4 linked regions of the Cricetulus griseus genome follow. The protein of the gene in region 4 interacts with the protein of the main gene of each other region in a biochemical or structural test. Links are inferred from orthologs where the notes say so. Each region holds a gene or a part of one and is shown on either strand. Other genes may lie near its edges.

What was found.
Region 1: of the proteins of Wwp1 (region 4) and Klf5, one has a biochemical effect on the other in vitro, tested with the Homo sapiens proteins (4 studies listed by BioGRID, with this or other methods). The link is inferred for Cricetulus griseus from reciprocal best matches to the Homo sapiens genes WWP1 and KLF5.
Region 2: the proteins of Wwp1 (region 4) and Dvl2 form a complex in vitro, tested with the Homo sapiens proteins (2 studies listed by BioGRID, with this or other methods). The link is inferred for Cricetulus griseus from reciprocal best matches to the Homo sapiens genes WWP1 and DVL2.
Region 3: of the proteins of Wwp1 (region 4) and Wbp2, one has a biochemical effect on the other in vitro, tested with the Homo sapiens proteins (2 studies listed by BioGRID, with this or other methods). The link is inferred for Cricetulus griseus from reciprocal best matches to the Homo sapiens genes WWP1 and WBP2.

What each region holds. Positions count from the first base shown.
Region 1 is NW_023276807.1:251,145,112-251,148,456, reverse strand, and holds the end of Klf5 (Krueppel-like factor 5), read right to left. Parts: intron 2,299-3,345; coding exon 2,120-2,298; 3' UTR 524-2,119; downstream 1-523. UniProt on the Homo sapiens protein: Transcription factor that binds to GC box promoter elements. Activates the transcription of these genes.
Region 2 is NC_048600.1:83,846,506-83,850,842, reverse strand, and holds the start of Dvl2 (segment polarity protein dishevelled homolog DVL-2), read right to left. Parts: upstream 2,833-4,337; coding exon 2,639-2,832; intron 1-2,638. Other genes in the region: Phf23 (PHD finger protein 23), read right to left, coding at 4,196-4,337.
Region 3 is NC_048600.1:128,663,192-128,666,675, forward strand, and holds the end of Wbp2 (WW domain-binding protein 2), read right to left. Parts: intron 3,443-3,484; coding exon 3,350-3,442; intron 2,784-3,349; coding exon 2,649-2,783; intron 2,430-2,648; coding exon 2,307-2,429; intron 1,743-2,306; coding exon 1,666-1,742; intron 1,548-1,665; coding exon 1,494-1,547; 3' UTR 547-1,493; downstream 1-546. UniProt on the Homo sapiens protein: Acts as a transcriptional coactivator of estrogen and progesterone receptors (ESR1 and PGR) upon hormone activation. In presence of estrogen, binds to ESR1-responsive promoters. Synergizes with YAP1 to enhance PGR activity.
Region 4 is NC_048595.1:132,927,912-132,931,478, forward strand, and holds part of Wwp1 (NEDD4-like E3 ubiquitin-protein ligase WWP1), read right to left. Parts: intron 3,434-3,567; coding exon 3,259-3,433; intron 1,815-3,258; coding exon 1,760-1,814; intron 1,673-1,759; coding exon 1,588-1,672; intron 1,475-1,587; coding exon 1,346-1,474; intron 180-1,345; coding exon 104-179; intron 5-103; coding exon 1-4. UniProt on the Homo sapiens protein: E3 ubiquitin-protein ligase which accepts ubiquitin from an E2 ubiquitin-conjugating enzyme in the form of a thioester and then directly transfers the ubiquitin to targeted substrates.

The sequences.
Region 1 (3,345 bases), on a different chromosome or scaffold from region 4:
CAGCCTGGTCTGGACCCCTGTGCTCTTCACTCATCCTTCTCTGTATCTGGGTTCCAGTTCAGTTCGGTGATTAGTTGTGGGTGTCTGCTTCGACTTCCACCAGCTGCTGGATGAAGGCTATAGGATGGCATATAAGTTAGTCATCAATCTCATAATCAGGAGAGGGCATTTAAGGTAGCCTCTCCTCTGTTGCTTAGACTGTTAGCTGGTGTCATCTTTGTAGCTCTCCAGACATTTCCCTAGTGCTTGAAAGAAATCCTTCTATGTCTTAAAGGAAGTATGATTCAATGTGTTTTTATTTTATTTTTTTCAGACAAGATTCCACAATGTCCTTGAATTCCACTACCCCAGAGGCTGGGATTATAGACAGGCACTTCTACATCCCAGGCAGGCAACCAATTGGGATCCAGGTCACTGTACTTTCTCGAAGTCTGCCTGAGAGTCTTTTAATTAACCTCCCTGAGCAGACCTTTAGATCATACTATGCTCATTAACTGCTATAGAAGGGAAAGAAGGCACCATGTAAATCTTTTAGGCACTTTTTATTTTCAAAAAAAAAATTGTTGTTAATATATAAACATCTCATTCTCTCAAAAAATTCTACAACTTTACAGCTGTTTGCTCCGATATTTGCATAGGAAATGACCACAATACAAAAATAAGGGACAAAGAAGCCAAACAGCAGCCGGTTTACGCTTTTGAAGTAGGTGTCCACGTATAAACATCTTGAAGCCTCTTACAAAACTATTTACACTGTCACCTATTTACACATTGAAGCAACTTTTCTAACAAACAAAACTATAATTTATCAAGTTATGAAAATTGTTTTCTAAAAAAACTTACTATATTACCACAAAATAAATAATGATAAACAATATCTTAAAAACAAAAATTAAATTTTTAATTAAGACCGCTTTTGGCATTTTGCTTATGATTTCTGCCCTTTGGTTAACAGCGTCAGTCACATTCCTATGATATTGCATATTGGTAAGCTTTCAACATGTCACTGATATTAAAGGCAGACACCGAGTCAGCATTAACAGATTAACTACACTGCACTGTAATTTCAATAATAAAATTACTGTGTCTCACTGGTTATTACATGCAAAAATCCACATAAATTGTCATTTAGCCAACAATATGGCATGAGCAAACATCCCCAGTCCAAGAAAACTGCACCAGAAACTCAGCGTTTCCACAAGTGCAAACAGAGTCTTAAATTCAACGAGGACACAAGTGACAGCCACAGCCGTCTTTCACAAGTGATACTGTTTAACTTAGAAGACCTTTAATGTCTGTGTCTTGTAACTATCTTTAAACTCTTCAGTTTAAATTCATATAAAAAAATCTTTCGTATTTAAAATAAACAATCTTATTTCAATCAGAGAGTGAAATTTGCATTTTATTCATTTGAATGATTATTCCCTCCCCCAAAGAAATGGATTTGGTAACTTTTTTAGAGAGGTATCAACCACAAATCCTAACTTCATATGTATTAATAGTTATTTTCAAAAGAAGTATGATTCCCCCAAGCAATCCTTAAAAAGTTGTAATAAACCTATAAAGCTGATTTGCATATTTACAAAATTTTGTAATAGCAAATATAGGCAACTCATATAAAAAACAAAACAAAACACATTTGTTCAATGGCTATTTGTGAATTGCCAGGTACACTGTGTACCTCCTCTATGGAAATAATCTAATCTTGAGAGAAAAAAAAAAACAAGTCCACGTCAAGTAAAATCTTGACAGTCTGTCCGGGTGCCTGCCAACTGGTTTGTTTATACTAAACAATGTCACAAATGATGGCGTGTGCAGTCTGCATAGAAACAGCATACGCACCCCGTGCACCCCCACCGGTTCCCCACGCTGAGATGCCGCTGCCTGTCTGGAGATGAAGTGTGCTGGAAAAGAGCCAGCGATGAGCATGACAGCAAGTTCCAGGTTCTCAAAATAACCAAACACTTTGGTATTAATACAATGTATTCCCTGTGGCCTCAAATATACAAAATATACATTTCCAGTTCTCTTTTTTTTTTTTCTTTTTTATATGAAGTTAGGTCAGCGGTTTAAAGGGTGGCAGAGCGGACTGCGAGGCGTCGGGCGGTCGGCGCAGGGCTCAGCTCTGGTGGCGCTTCATGTGCAGCGCCAGGTGGTCGGATCGGGAGAAGCTGCGGTTGCACACCCCGCACTGGAACGGCTTGGCACCCGTGTGCTTCCTGTAGTGGCGAGTCAGCTCGTCCGACCGAGCAAACCTCCAGTCGCAGCCCTCCCAGTTGCACTTGTAGGGCTTCTCACCTGCGACAAGAAGAGACACAAGGTGAGGTGACAGTCTGCTGCAAGACCAAGGGCAGAGCCCACAGCACACTCTGAACCCCACTGGGAGCTCCTCAGCCTCAGCGTATCTGAGTCCTTCCATTGGAGGATGGGTGTCACCCGTAATCCTCAAGAAAAGGACAGTCTCTTTCAAATGCTGGAGAATCGGCTTCGTGTGGGTCACCTCGCAGCACCTTTCCCATTACTCGAGGCCAGCTCGGTCTACATAGCAAGTTTCAAGCCAGCTAGGGATACACACTGAGATGAAGGTCAAGAGAAGGCCGAGTGTCCCCTATATGGGGCAATCCTAAACCAATAAATCCTTAAAGTGGGTATATGCCTTTGGATGATGTCATCTTATCTTACAAATAAGGATTCTCCATAATCAAACCTTGATTACTGTAAGCATGATGGCTAACGCCAGTGAGGGAGCTAGCTGCTCAGACCAGGCCTTCACCAAGAAGCTCATATACCATCACTGTTTGGCCTAACCCTGCTCCTGGTTTTATCTGAACTAGGTTCCCAGCATAGAGCCCAGGACACAATAGGCTGGGGATCCCGTTTCTGTTGTAGTCATGTCTCATGTAACCCAAATAGGTCTCAAATTGGTTAGGTGGGGATAACCTTGAACTCCTGAAGTTTCTGCCTCTCCACCTCCCAAGTGCTTGGATTACAGGAGAGTGCTGACACACTAGTCTTCTCATTCCACATCTTTATATTCACACTAGCACACACATTTCCCAAACCAGAAAACACTTAAAACATCATTGCTTTATGTAAACATTTTTGCATTTGATAGTTAATACATTCTTTAAGTAAACCAGGATCTGCTGCTGATAATCCCACAGTGCAATTTGTATGGTTCCTAATATTTCTCCCAAATTTGCCAGTCCTCAAGTTCCCAAACTGCTTAATATTTAGGATACAATTTTAATTTGCTGTGTTAGAATCAATCCCATTTAAGATAAAGCATCTTCCTATACAAAACTCTAAATTTCAAGCCTTTGAGTAGTAACCTTGTCATGACAG
Region 2 (4,337 bases), on a different chromosome or scaffold from region 4:
CAAATGTGTGGCCTTTGCTAGGTGAAAACACCCTTCAATGTGACAGTAACACTCCACACCAGGAAAGCGCCCACTGAGAGGGGATGAGAGGCTTCCCGTTTCCTGGCTGCCTCATCTCACTAAGCAATCTGCTCAGCCTGAAACATCCTGAAGCCCAGCCTTGGTGGCCAGCCTCCCACAGGCTCCCGCCTCGGATTAAACTTGTTCCTTCTCAATACCCACAAGAAATCATTAGCACCTACTCTGTTCAACATGTGTCCTGGGTGTGCAGCACCAGCCTTGATACTTAGTAAGCATTAGCAAATACATGGTGACAAAATATGAGCCATGAGGCTTACTTTCACATACACAACACCCTCACCTTCAAATTAGAACTTCTTGTCTGGGGGCTGGCTTAGTGAGAGTTGGCTTGTGGTTAAGAGCATTTATCGCTCTTCCAAAAGGCCCCAGGTTTAGTTTCCAGCACCCACATAGTGGCTCACAACCATCTGTAACTCCAGTTCTGGGCTCTGTCTCTTCTAATGTTCACAGGCACCAGGCATGCACATGATATACATACATGCAGACAAAACACTCATATACATAAAAATAATGAAAAAATTAAAATAAAACCTCTTGATTGATTAACACTAGCCTAATATGCTCTGGGGGCCTTGGGTATATGCCACATTTTGAAGGTATATTCCTCATATATTAGCTGCCAAGACAACATAGCCCAGTCACCAGGGGTCTGCTCAGTGTATACAACTCTTCCCAACATAACCCAACCTCATCAAACCCAGCGTGGCCCAGTCTCCTCCAAAGCAGGCAATTTTGTATCACTATAATCTAGTCTATGAACTAGTTAGCCTCAATACTAAATGAAAATTACCAGCCACCAAGATTTACCATGTGCTTGCACCTAAATTAAGTATTTTACACTATGATTATCATCATGCCACAGATGAAGAAATCAAAGCACAAAAGTTAAATAGATTGCCTAAAATTATAATGCAAAAAGAAGAACCAAGATTCAAATCCAAGACAACCCCCTAGATAGTATCACTCTGCCCATGTCGAAAAATCTTCAGTGAGAGTCCAGTTTGTTCAGTTCTAGCTAATGGGGAATGTGCTCCAACCACAGGTAAGGAGCCTTGCTCCAACCCAGGTGGTAGATAACCTTTTTCTCCCCAGTACCCTGCTATCCTTGCTTATGCCAACTCAGAACATCAGAATCCAATGCACTCTATCTTCAGACCTTGAGCCTGAGGACACACAAGACTCGGTCTCAATAGCTACAAAACAAAAGGCTGCCTTACTCAAGAGTTCTACTCCAGCCCAGGATCACCCAGAATGTCCCAAATTACCCCAGAACAACCCCCATCTAATCTAGCAAAGCCCCAGTGCCTCCACACAAGCAGCTGTCTGCACCAGTACTGATTGCAATACCCCAATACAATATGCACGGACTCCACCAGCCTATTCCTATCTTGTAACACAGTAAACCCAGGTCTGGGCCAGGTATAGTGTCACACACCTCTAGCCTCAGCATGAAGGATGCAGACATAGAGGCAGGGCTGCTACAAATTCAAGGTGAGTCTGTTCTACATTGTGAGCTCTAGGTAGCTTTAGTTACAGGATGAAATCCTGGCTCAGCAGTTAAGAGCACTGGCTGCTCTTCCAAAGGACTGGAGTGCAATTCCCAGCACCTAAATAGAGGATAACATATACATAACTCCAGTTCCAAGCGATCCCAAGCCATCTTCTGGTTTCTGAGGCATTGCATGCTTGTAGTGCACAAATATGCACGCATGCAAAACACCCATACACATAAAATATCTTTAAAATAAACAAACAAACCTCCAATTTCCCCCGTAGGGGGAGGGGAATCTACTCCTAAGAGAAAATAAAAAGAACCCAGTAGAGTTCAGAAGGTTGCAAACTTTGCCAGAAAAAAATCTATTCAAAACAGTCCAACCTATCCCCGACAGACCTCTCTGCATTATTTCAGATCTCAAAATAATACTATGGGACCTAATTAATAAGCCAGGATAGCCTAAATTGTCTAAGTATAGCTCAATCTACATAATGACACTGCATGCCCAGCATATTGGCTCACACCTGTTAACTCCAGCTCTCAAGGCTGAAAGCAGGAACTCCATGAGTTCGGAGCCAGCCTAGGATACAAAGAGTAAGGCCTGTCTCAAAACAAAAGACCAAATCAAAACCAGCAAACAAACAAACAAACAAAATAACCCTACAGAATATTCCTATACAATCCTTGTGAAGACGTCTGAGAACATACCAGACAACCAAAAGATAGTTGAATCTAATCTCAGCACAGCCTAAAATATCCTCAAGCATCGCCTCTTAGCCTTGTGGCTAAAATCAAGTAGAGAGAATGGCCAAACAAACCAGTGTGCCCCATTATTCCAACCTAATTTTCTTGCCTCTGGTTTACTGAAGTCCAGCCCGTTCTTCCCAAGCTCTGTGTGTCCAACCTTGTCCGTCTTGGGATGGGCGATCTACTCTAGCATAGTACAATATGCTATGTTCTACAACAGGCCAGAAAAATTCCAAGGCAGTCCAGTCCCCCTCAAAATCGCCCAATCCATTCCAGCACATCCATCGTCCTTCCCAGTCTAGGCCTCACGCTTACCCAAAATCCTGATCCATAGACTTGAAAAAGTACTTAGCGCCCGCGGGCCGCTGCAAAACGCTCTTGAAATCGCCGAGGGTGATGCGCTCCGCCGGGACAGGAATCTTCACCAGGTAGGGAGTCTCTTCCTCATCCAGATGGTAAATCACCTTCGTCTCGCCTACACCACCGCCCCCCGCGCTGCTGCCCGCCATGGTCTCGCTCGCGCGCTCCCGGGCTCAGCCGCCCACCCAACAGGACTAAGCGCCCCCGCCGCGCCTGCGCACACCCGCAAATTGACGTGCTAGCGCCGACAGGGCAGGGCCAGTGCGGGAGACGCGCCCAAGGAGGACGGCGTGGAGCAGCAGGGTGATAGCTTAGAGCCGTGGAGCGAGACCCAGAACCCTGGACCCCACAGCCGAGGTCCAACACCACCACCTACGTCGCGAACAGTATCGAGGTCCCCGCCCACCTCTCCCCATGCCACGTGACACAAGCCCGCCCACTTTGCGCAGCCGACTGCCCTCACGTGATCCGCTCGTGTCACGTGACTGCGAAGCTCCGCCTAGACACTCACGTGATCGCTGCCTTGAGCAACGGTCTTCAGCCCTAGAAGACTCCGCCCCCAAACGTGTACCCCGCCCCACACCAAGTACTATGGCCAACCCCGTTGACTCTTAGAATGCTGGCAACTGGCTCCCACTGTTTTACCCATCCCAGGCCCAGAGCTCAAAGCACCTCAGGTGCAACTATGGGGGTGTGGGAGGGTACTGGTAAATCGAGAACTGCAAACCAACTTGGACCTCTAGGACGACTTCTGGTTTGAGAACGCTGAAAACTAGACCTTTCAAGATTTGACTTTTGAGTGAGAGAGGGTGATGGGGGATTCAGTGTCTCATGTAGTGGAAGCCAGCCTTAGCCCCTAAATTGTCTCCACCTCCCAAATTGTGGGATTATATCTCTGGATCATAAGAGTCGGTTTCAGCCCTAATTACATCGAGACATCTGCCAGGTCCCCTCCCCAAATAGGACAACGAGGATTGTAAAACACAAGAGCCCACTCTGCTTTATTTACAACACGCTGGCTGTCTGTACAAGCAGCCAGCCAATATTATTAAAAATGAGGCTAGTGATAATTGACACCTTTTTGCTTTTCTCCCCCACTCCACCAGCTATGGTACTCCGCCTTTGAGCAACCACTTTGCTCAAACATGGGAGCCCAAAATTAAAAACAACCGGTGTAGAAGAAAGCAAATGGGAGTGAGAGAGAAGAAAACATGAGGGAGTGCTGTATTTACACTACAATTTTATAGACAACTATCCCATTACATCCCAGTTTGAGCCCTGGCCCTGAAAGTCAAAGGGTGGTAGGTTGACTGGACAGAGACTTGTCTACAGATCCAGCCTCCCCTGACCCAGATGTAATGGGTCTAATTCAAGTCCATGGAGCAGGAAGGACAGCGTACAAGACACTCAATTCCAAACAAGTCTCCCTCGGGAATTCCTGCTTTGAAGAGGCTGAAGACTCTGAGCCTCAGTTCCCAAGTAAAGTCACAAGTTCCAGCCTCAAGAGTGATGTCAAGGTTCTCCCGATTTGGGGAGACCCCCTAACCGCCGGGCCTCTGGCCGAAGTTCCTTGCATTTCTGGCAATAAAAGAAGTCAGGAACATTGGTCTTCTTTATCTTAGCACAGGAGAGGTGGATCCACGTCCCACACAGG
Region 3 (3,484 bases), on a different chromosome or scaffold from region 4:
CTTGGGCAGGCCTGCCAGCCCCTAGGGGTGGGTGGCCGAAGAAAGAGGTGGCGGCAAGGCCTTGCTGCGTCTCTCTGTGGGAGCATTTTGGTCAGGAGAGGACTTCGGTGCTGGGGTCTCCCACAGCCCTTTGACTGTGAGTGGAGAGCAGGCCTTTAGCTGGTAGTGGCTTTAGCTTTATTCTACCTTCTTGCCCTAGGTCAGGTGGCATGAAGTCACACTCCCCTCACGGGAGTCCTGCCATACCCGGGTGACAAAGCTGCTTCCAGCCTGTGCTCAGTAGGCGAGTTGCAGATGGGATACAGGCCTTGTCCTGTCCCCAGCTGGCAGTGGGTGGCACCATGCACCAACCCCGGGCAGGTAGAGGCCTCTGTAGGAAGGCTGGGAACCAAGTGCACCCTGAGACTCACTGACAGGAAACGGGCTCCTTTGCCCCACCTCCCAGCTGTCAATAGCTCCTCCTCCCATAAGATCTCACCCTTCTCACCACACAGAGTCAGAGAGTCCAGTTACTTCATTTACTGTTTCACAGTTGTAGCAAACAAATCAAGGTGCAAACTGGGTTTATTTCACATTAATATATTAACTGGATTTTTTGTGTGTCAAATAAATAGGGATTTCTCTTTAAATAACCATCTCCTTGTTTTGCGTCCAGACCAGGACCAAACAAGAGCAAATCTTAGTGCATCCAGGGGGCGGGCGTGAAGCTCACACAGGGGCAGATGGCAAGTTTCAGGTCACATGGTTGGAGGTGCTCGTTCCCAGACCTAAGTCATGATTGGACAGACATGCACTCTCTACTGCTCCTGCAGAAAAGCCCCTTGTGTAAAGGGGAAGAGGAGGGGACACTACCAGAGGGGCTTCTCCCAGCTACAGAGGCTTTGCTTCTGATGCCACCAACCACTGGAAGTTCAGGGTAAAATTCCCAAAGCCAGAGGCAATGAGGGAACAAGGACAAGTGTGGAGTGTGACTGAGGCCAGGGCCTGACTGAAGGGAATGTGGACTGACCATCTGTGGGGACAGTGGCTTTCCGGGGTCAGGCACACCCCAGGAGGAAGGAATGTGAGCAGGACCTGGCAGGGCCTGTAGGAGAGACACAAGGCGGGTCTGATGAGCCCAGAAGATGGCGTAGGATGGTCATCAGGCTGAGGGGCTGGACTGTGGTGGAGGAGTGGCCAGAGAGTCCCTCTGTGGGCAGGAGCTACTACAGTGAGGAACAAGGGGCAATCCCAAGCTCCCAATAGCCCCAGAGATGGTGAGAGGGAAGCTAGACAGAGCAGTGCCATGGGTTGAGCTAGTGTGGGAAGCTGGGAGGCGCCTCTCAGAGGCCAGGAGCCCCGCCCTTCCATCAGGGCTAGTTCCTGGTAACTGTTTATAATCAGGCCTGGGGAAGAACAGGCCCTCCCTGGCCTCCCAGAATCTCAGATGCAGCTCCGTGGGAGGCCCAGGAAGGGAGGGGTCGTCCAGTGAGAGGCAGGGAGGTGGGCAAGGTCTACTGGGTCTTCTTGTCTTCTGGGGGGTAGTAGGGTGGCGGCGGAGGCTGGCTCTAGAGGAAGAAAACACAGATCATGTGAGACATCACAGAATGAGCAGTGTCTCTCTTTCACCACTGGCTCCCAGGCTGTGTGACTGAGAGGGCGGGCAAGCAGGTTTGCCCCACTTACCGTGGGCATGTAGACATTGTGTGGGTTGCCGGGGTTGTAATAGGCGCTGGCAGCTGCTTCTGCGGCCTTGGCCTCAGCTGTAAAAGGAAACACATGGCTGGATGGCAATGAGTGACAAGCCCCCCTCCTCCACCCACCTGAGTTCAGGGCAGCTGGTGCTGGCGACTCAGGCCACCAAAAGCTTCAGTGACTTTCCTAAGCACCTGCCACGTGCTGGCACTGTCTTTACAGTCCCTTTACATGCCCTTGACATAGGTCTATCGGGCGGTCCTGGTGACCATCTGTAGATGAGACACTGAGGCATACAGGGTGACTTTCTGGGTCCAAGGTCACTGGTAGCCAAGGGCCAACAAGGCTGGAATCTATACCTCATCTCACCTTCAGACTGTTGTTTCATATTCTATGGCACTGGGGACACAGAACATAGGCCTAGCCCATGCCAGGCAAGGGCTCACTAAACCAAACCCAGCCCTTGCAATACAGCTCTTCACCACCGAGCTATCACTCTGTTGGTTCCTCTGGGTGGTCTGTAAGCCAGAGGCCCTTCATCAGTAGTCTCCAGCCATCTTGTGGGGTTGTCTGTAAGACCTTCCGGAGGAGAAAGCTGGTCCTCAAGAATTGCTAGCAGCCTAGGGGCTCACCTGCAGGAGTGGAGGGGGCACTGGGGCCACTGACTGGAGGCTCCATAGGCCCAGGATAGGGTGGTGGTGGGGGCTGTACATATCCCATGGCGCCATCCATCATGGGAGGTCCTGGATAGAACTCTGCTTGGAAAGAGAGTGACAGAGACAGTGAGCACGCCCTCGTGGCTCCCTCAGAAGGCTAATCCTGGGAGTGGTCTGTCTATTTCCTTGGGGTGCCCTCTGAGCTCTCCACTGTTAGGTCTAAAGCAGGTGAAAGGGCACATTGCCCCTCTGCAACCTGAAGGTGTGGTTAGTGGGTGGGTGGGGAGGCTGAGGCTGGGCAGCAAAGGACACACTCACCAGGTGGGGGCGGTGGATAGGGGTAGCCAGGAGGGCAGGGGTACATTCCATTGGCGACTGGCGGGGGAAAGACATAGGCCCCACTGGGCATGTAAGGGTACCCATAGGCTCCATTAGGGGCTTCACCTCTGGAGGCTATAAGTACAAGGGGAGAGAGAGATGAGTGTTGCCTGCCTCAGGGACTGATGAGTCCAGGACAGTGCCCACAGATGCCATTCAGCCTCCCACTGCCCACCTGGGTCTGCCTAGGTCTCTGTGTGGGAGGGGAGGGGAGGGGAGGGGAGAGGAGAGGAGAGGAGGGGAAGGGAGGGGAGGGGAGGGGAGGGAAGGAGAGGGGAGGGAGAGGCCAGAGGGCAACAGGACAGAGTGGAGAGGGAGTAAATGGAAAGGTAACCTGGGGGGGTGGGAGGGTAGAATGAGGGAGTGAATGCTGAGCACAGTGCTTGGGAATTTACAATGGCTGCTGGGTGGTAGTTTAACAGTTGGGTTTATTGTTTGTTTTTCAGTCCAAACATTTCTGTCAGAATGCTGCATGCTTGTTATGGGCAGAGGAAACCCACAGACGGTAATTACAGGTTTCTTTCTCAACTCCCAGCCCTGCCATCTGGGCCCACAGTCACCTCCCAGTGCTTACAATACAAAATAAAAGGACAAACAAGAAACAAGGAGTGCTGGCCTCTTGTTTTTAAGAGCTGGGATACCTTGTGATGCCACCTGGAGCATCCGCTGCCCAAACTCAATGGCGCCCCCTGCTGTGAAGGTCAACTTGTAGGAAGCGGCGCCTTCCCAGCCACCTGAGAAGGGGCAAGGACAGTGAAGGAACAGTGAGGACATGA
Region 4 (3,567 bases):
TAGACTAAAAACAAAAATATCACAGCATGTAAGCCACAGCATATGTATTCCATAACTATCAGACTAAATTATTATAAATGAGATTTATTTACCACTGTAGTACCTGGCACAAGTAACGGAAGTGAGCAAGCTTCCACCTGAAGCTGCGTTCGTAAGCAATCTGTGGACCACCTTTAGTTCTAAAAAGAAGCATAACAAATAACACTGTAATATAATTATGAAACAGTGTGCGTCAGATTGTAGTATGACTAAAGAAAGCTATTTACAGTCGATAAATGGTGTATTCATTAGGACAATAGAGGCTTGAGTCATGAAGATTGTCCCATCAGCAGAACATATGCACGAGAGAGACTCCAAGTAGGAACAGGTCTATTGAGAAGCCCTTAGTTTATAGAAGGCCTAAAGTCTACTACAGACTACTTAAAAAGAACGTTGGATAATTCTTTTTTTTTTTTTTTTGTACTATTGTTTTTGTGTGATAAACTATAAGCAGAATTCTGATAATTCTTAAAGCTGAAGAAGTCAAGGATTCTAGATAAGAGGAACAGGAGGAAAAAAAAAAAAACCTAGACCTCATCTTAAACCTGATCTGAACAAAAACAAAGCAAAGCATAAGTAATTCTTGGAGCAAGCTGGACAATGAGAAAAGAGGCAGACACAAGAGTCAGCTGAGAATGAGACCTGCTTCTCCTGCCGAGAGAGTCTTAACAAAAAATACACGGAAATTCAGGAACTTTCATGGTAGAGTGAACACAAAATGCTGTCTTCTGCTGTCACAGTCATGGAAGTTCATTCACCCAAGAAAATTTATCAAATACTTAACAGGGACCTGGCATTCTCTAGACAATGAAAGCATTACTCCCTAGAAACATGGGGAAAGAGTGGCTGTTTTGTATATAATGTACCATTGAAGGAAATAGATAAAAATGAAAAGTAAACTACATATTGTGTGTTTTAAGGAAATAAATGGCTAATAACTTCTTAAAGGGGCCTTGTTAAAAGAAAAAAAACAAACAAGAAAATAATAATATAATCTCTCTCTCAAAGGTCATGGGAAGATAAAAATGAGCTAACATGTCTAAAATGGTTAGAACAATCTTTGGCATATAGTAGTTGTCACACACATATATGCTAATGTTATTATATACAAAATATATATTATTAAATAAAGAAATGCCATACCACAAATCCATTCTGGAATTATATAGAGCAAAACCAGTTATAGGTAGATATTACTTGTGCATGTTTTCTTGAACATGGCTTGTTTCTAAATTTGAAGCTGCATTAGAGACTAGACCTCCTGTATTCACTACATAATATTTTTGAAGTTTGGGTTTCCACTTACACAGATGACTTCCCATTGCGAGGATCTTTGAATGTTGTTGTTCTTGTGTTATGATCAACAAAGTACCTAACACCTTCCCGAGTATACCTGATTTCCCAGCCTTCTGGCAGGGGTTCTTCATTTGGTAAGCTGTAAGACAAAAAAATCACAATCATATGGTGGGTATGTTTCAGGTACTTATAGCCCACTGACTCCATCCATCTTCTCATGTGTAATAACTTAAGACTTTACTATACACATACCCTTGAGTTCTGGGGTCTTCCCATTGGGTTGTTTTTGTATTATGATTCACAAAGTAAACTCTGTCTGTTGAATCCACTCTTTTTTCTAAAACATAAAGTATGAATAACATTCAATAACAATTTGATACCTATATACCTTATACATATTTTTATAAATACCATATCAGCTTACCCCATCCTGGTGGTAAAGGTCCATATGGATCATTTTCTGCAGCTAACATTGAAGCCTGGTTGAAAAAGAGGTTGCAATATAAGATAGCAGTTTTAGCCAGAAGTATACTAATATACTAAGCAATTAACAATCATATCTTAGAATTTTTAAAAAATGTTATAAAGGAATATGAATACAACAATTTCAAGAAACAATGTTCAAAAATATTATGAAGAGCAGCCACCAGCTGATATAATTATTAGTAAATCATTTAAAAATAGTGTAGTAAAATCAAAAAGCTAATTTCCTAGTCCTTTTTAAGGAGTAAGAGGAGATGGGTAATTAGAGATAGAGATTATGCCATTTAAAGGAGACAATATTATTTGCTCAAAAATAGGTAAATCATTATAGTATAATTATTCTGCAAAATAATTATTCAATGGTAATATGTATACATCTTGATGAATATTTGATAGGACTGCCACCAGACAGCACTAAATATCCATTTTTATCTTATCTTTCTTGATAATGTAATCACTAGCTTTGTTTGAGGTAACAATGTGCCCATAAGGAATAGTCCACTGAATCTGGATTAGTAAAGTGACCAATTCTAGCCAATGAGGCAGAAGCAGGAGGGTTTCCTTTGCTAAACTGCTAAGCAAATAGGCAGGGGCTTGCTAAGTACAAGGGCCCTGCTACAGGAAACCTCTCCCCTTTCAGTTTACCCTTTCCTTTCATGGCAGAGACTCTGGAAATCAGGCCAAGGGTAGAAGCTCTTTATGTTCAAAATAGCAGGCAAAATGCATGGCAATAGAGGGTGCAGGAAAGATGCATGGCAACAGCCGGTAGAGATGGTGAAGGTAATGTGCATGACAATAGATGGTAAAGGAAATCTGCATGGTAAAAGATGGTACTAGTAAAATGCATGAGGAGATGGTGCTGGTTCAGTTGGTGACAATAGATGGTGTAGGTAAGCTGCATGACAACAGACGGTGCAGATAAAGTGCATAACAATAGCTAGTGTAGGCAAGAGGCATGATAATAGAGCAGGCAAGATGCACTGAAATAGATGATACTCTAAAAGGCAGAACTCAGCTGCTTGATGGCACTGTAAGCCAGAGAATGATTCTTTCTTGTTCCAGCCCTGGTATTCTATTGAAGTAGCTTAATTTGCATCCATTTAAGAGGACTGTGCTACTTAGTAGAAAGTATTTTGATACATACCCAATACCTAATTTTGTCCTGTTTACAAACTTTAATGCACACGAAGTCCTACACAGAACAAAACAAATGTACTATATACAGGATGAACATCCTAATCTAAAATCTAAAATATTCCAAAGACAGAAAAATTTCAAGAATGCTTATTTATTTAGACAAACCAGAAGTAATATTAAAGATTAGCCAAAAATAAAATGAAGCAAACAAACTATTGAATGTACTCTACATATTTTAGAAAGCCACCAAAGTAAGGGAAAAGTAACATTAACACCTCTAACACCTTGTAAATTGCTAATTACCGAATAGAGGTATCGTTGGTTGAATTGTTGCATAGCTCCCTGCAATTGATTCCGCTGAGATTGCCACTGTTCAAAATTTCGAACAGATTCCATGGTAGGCCGCTGCCATGTGGTTGTTCTGGTGTTATGATCCACATAATAAACTCTTCCACGATCATCAACTCTTCTTTCCCATCTACCACAAATAAGCAATAAAAATGAAGCAATGAGTCATTTCCTGTTAAATTAAAACATACATATTTTTACTTTATCTATTGGCATTGCTAGGGATGTGTAGGGGACACCATACACACGCCTCCTCCAGGCATT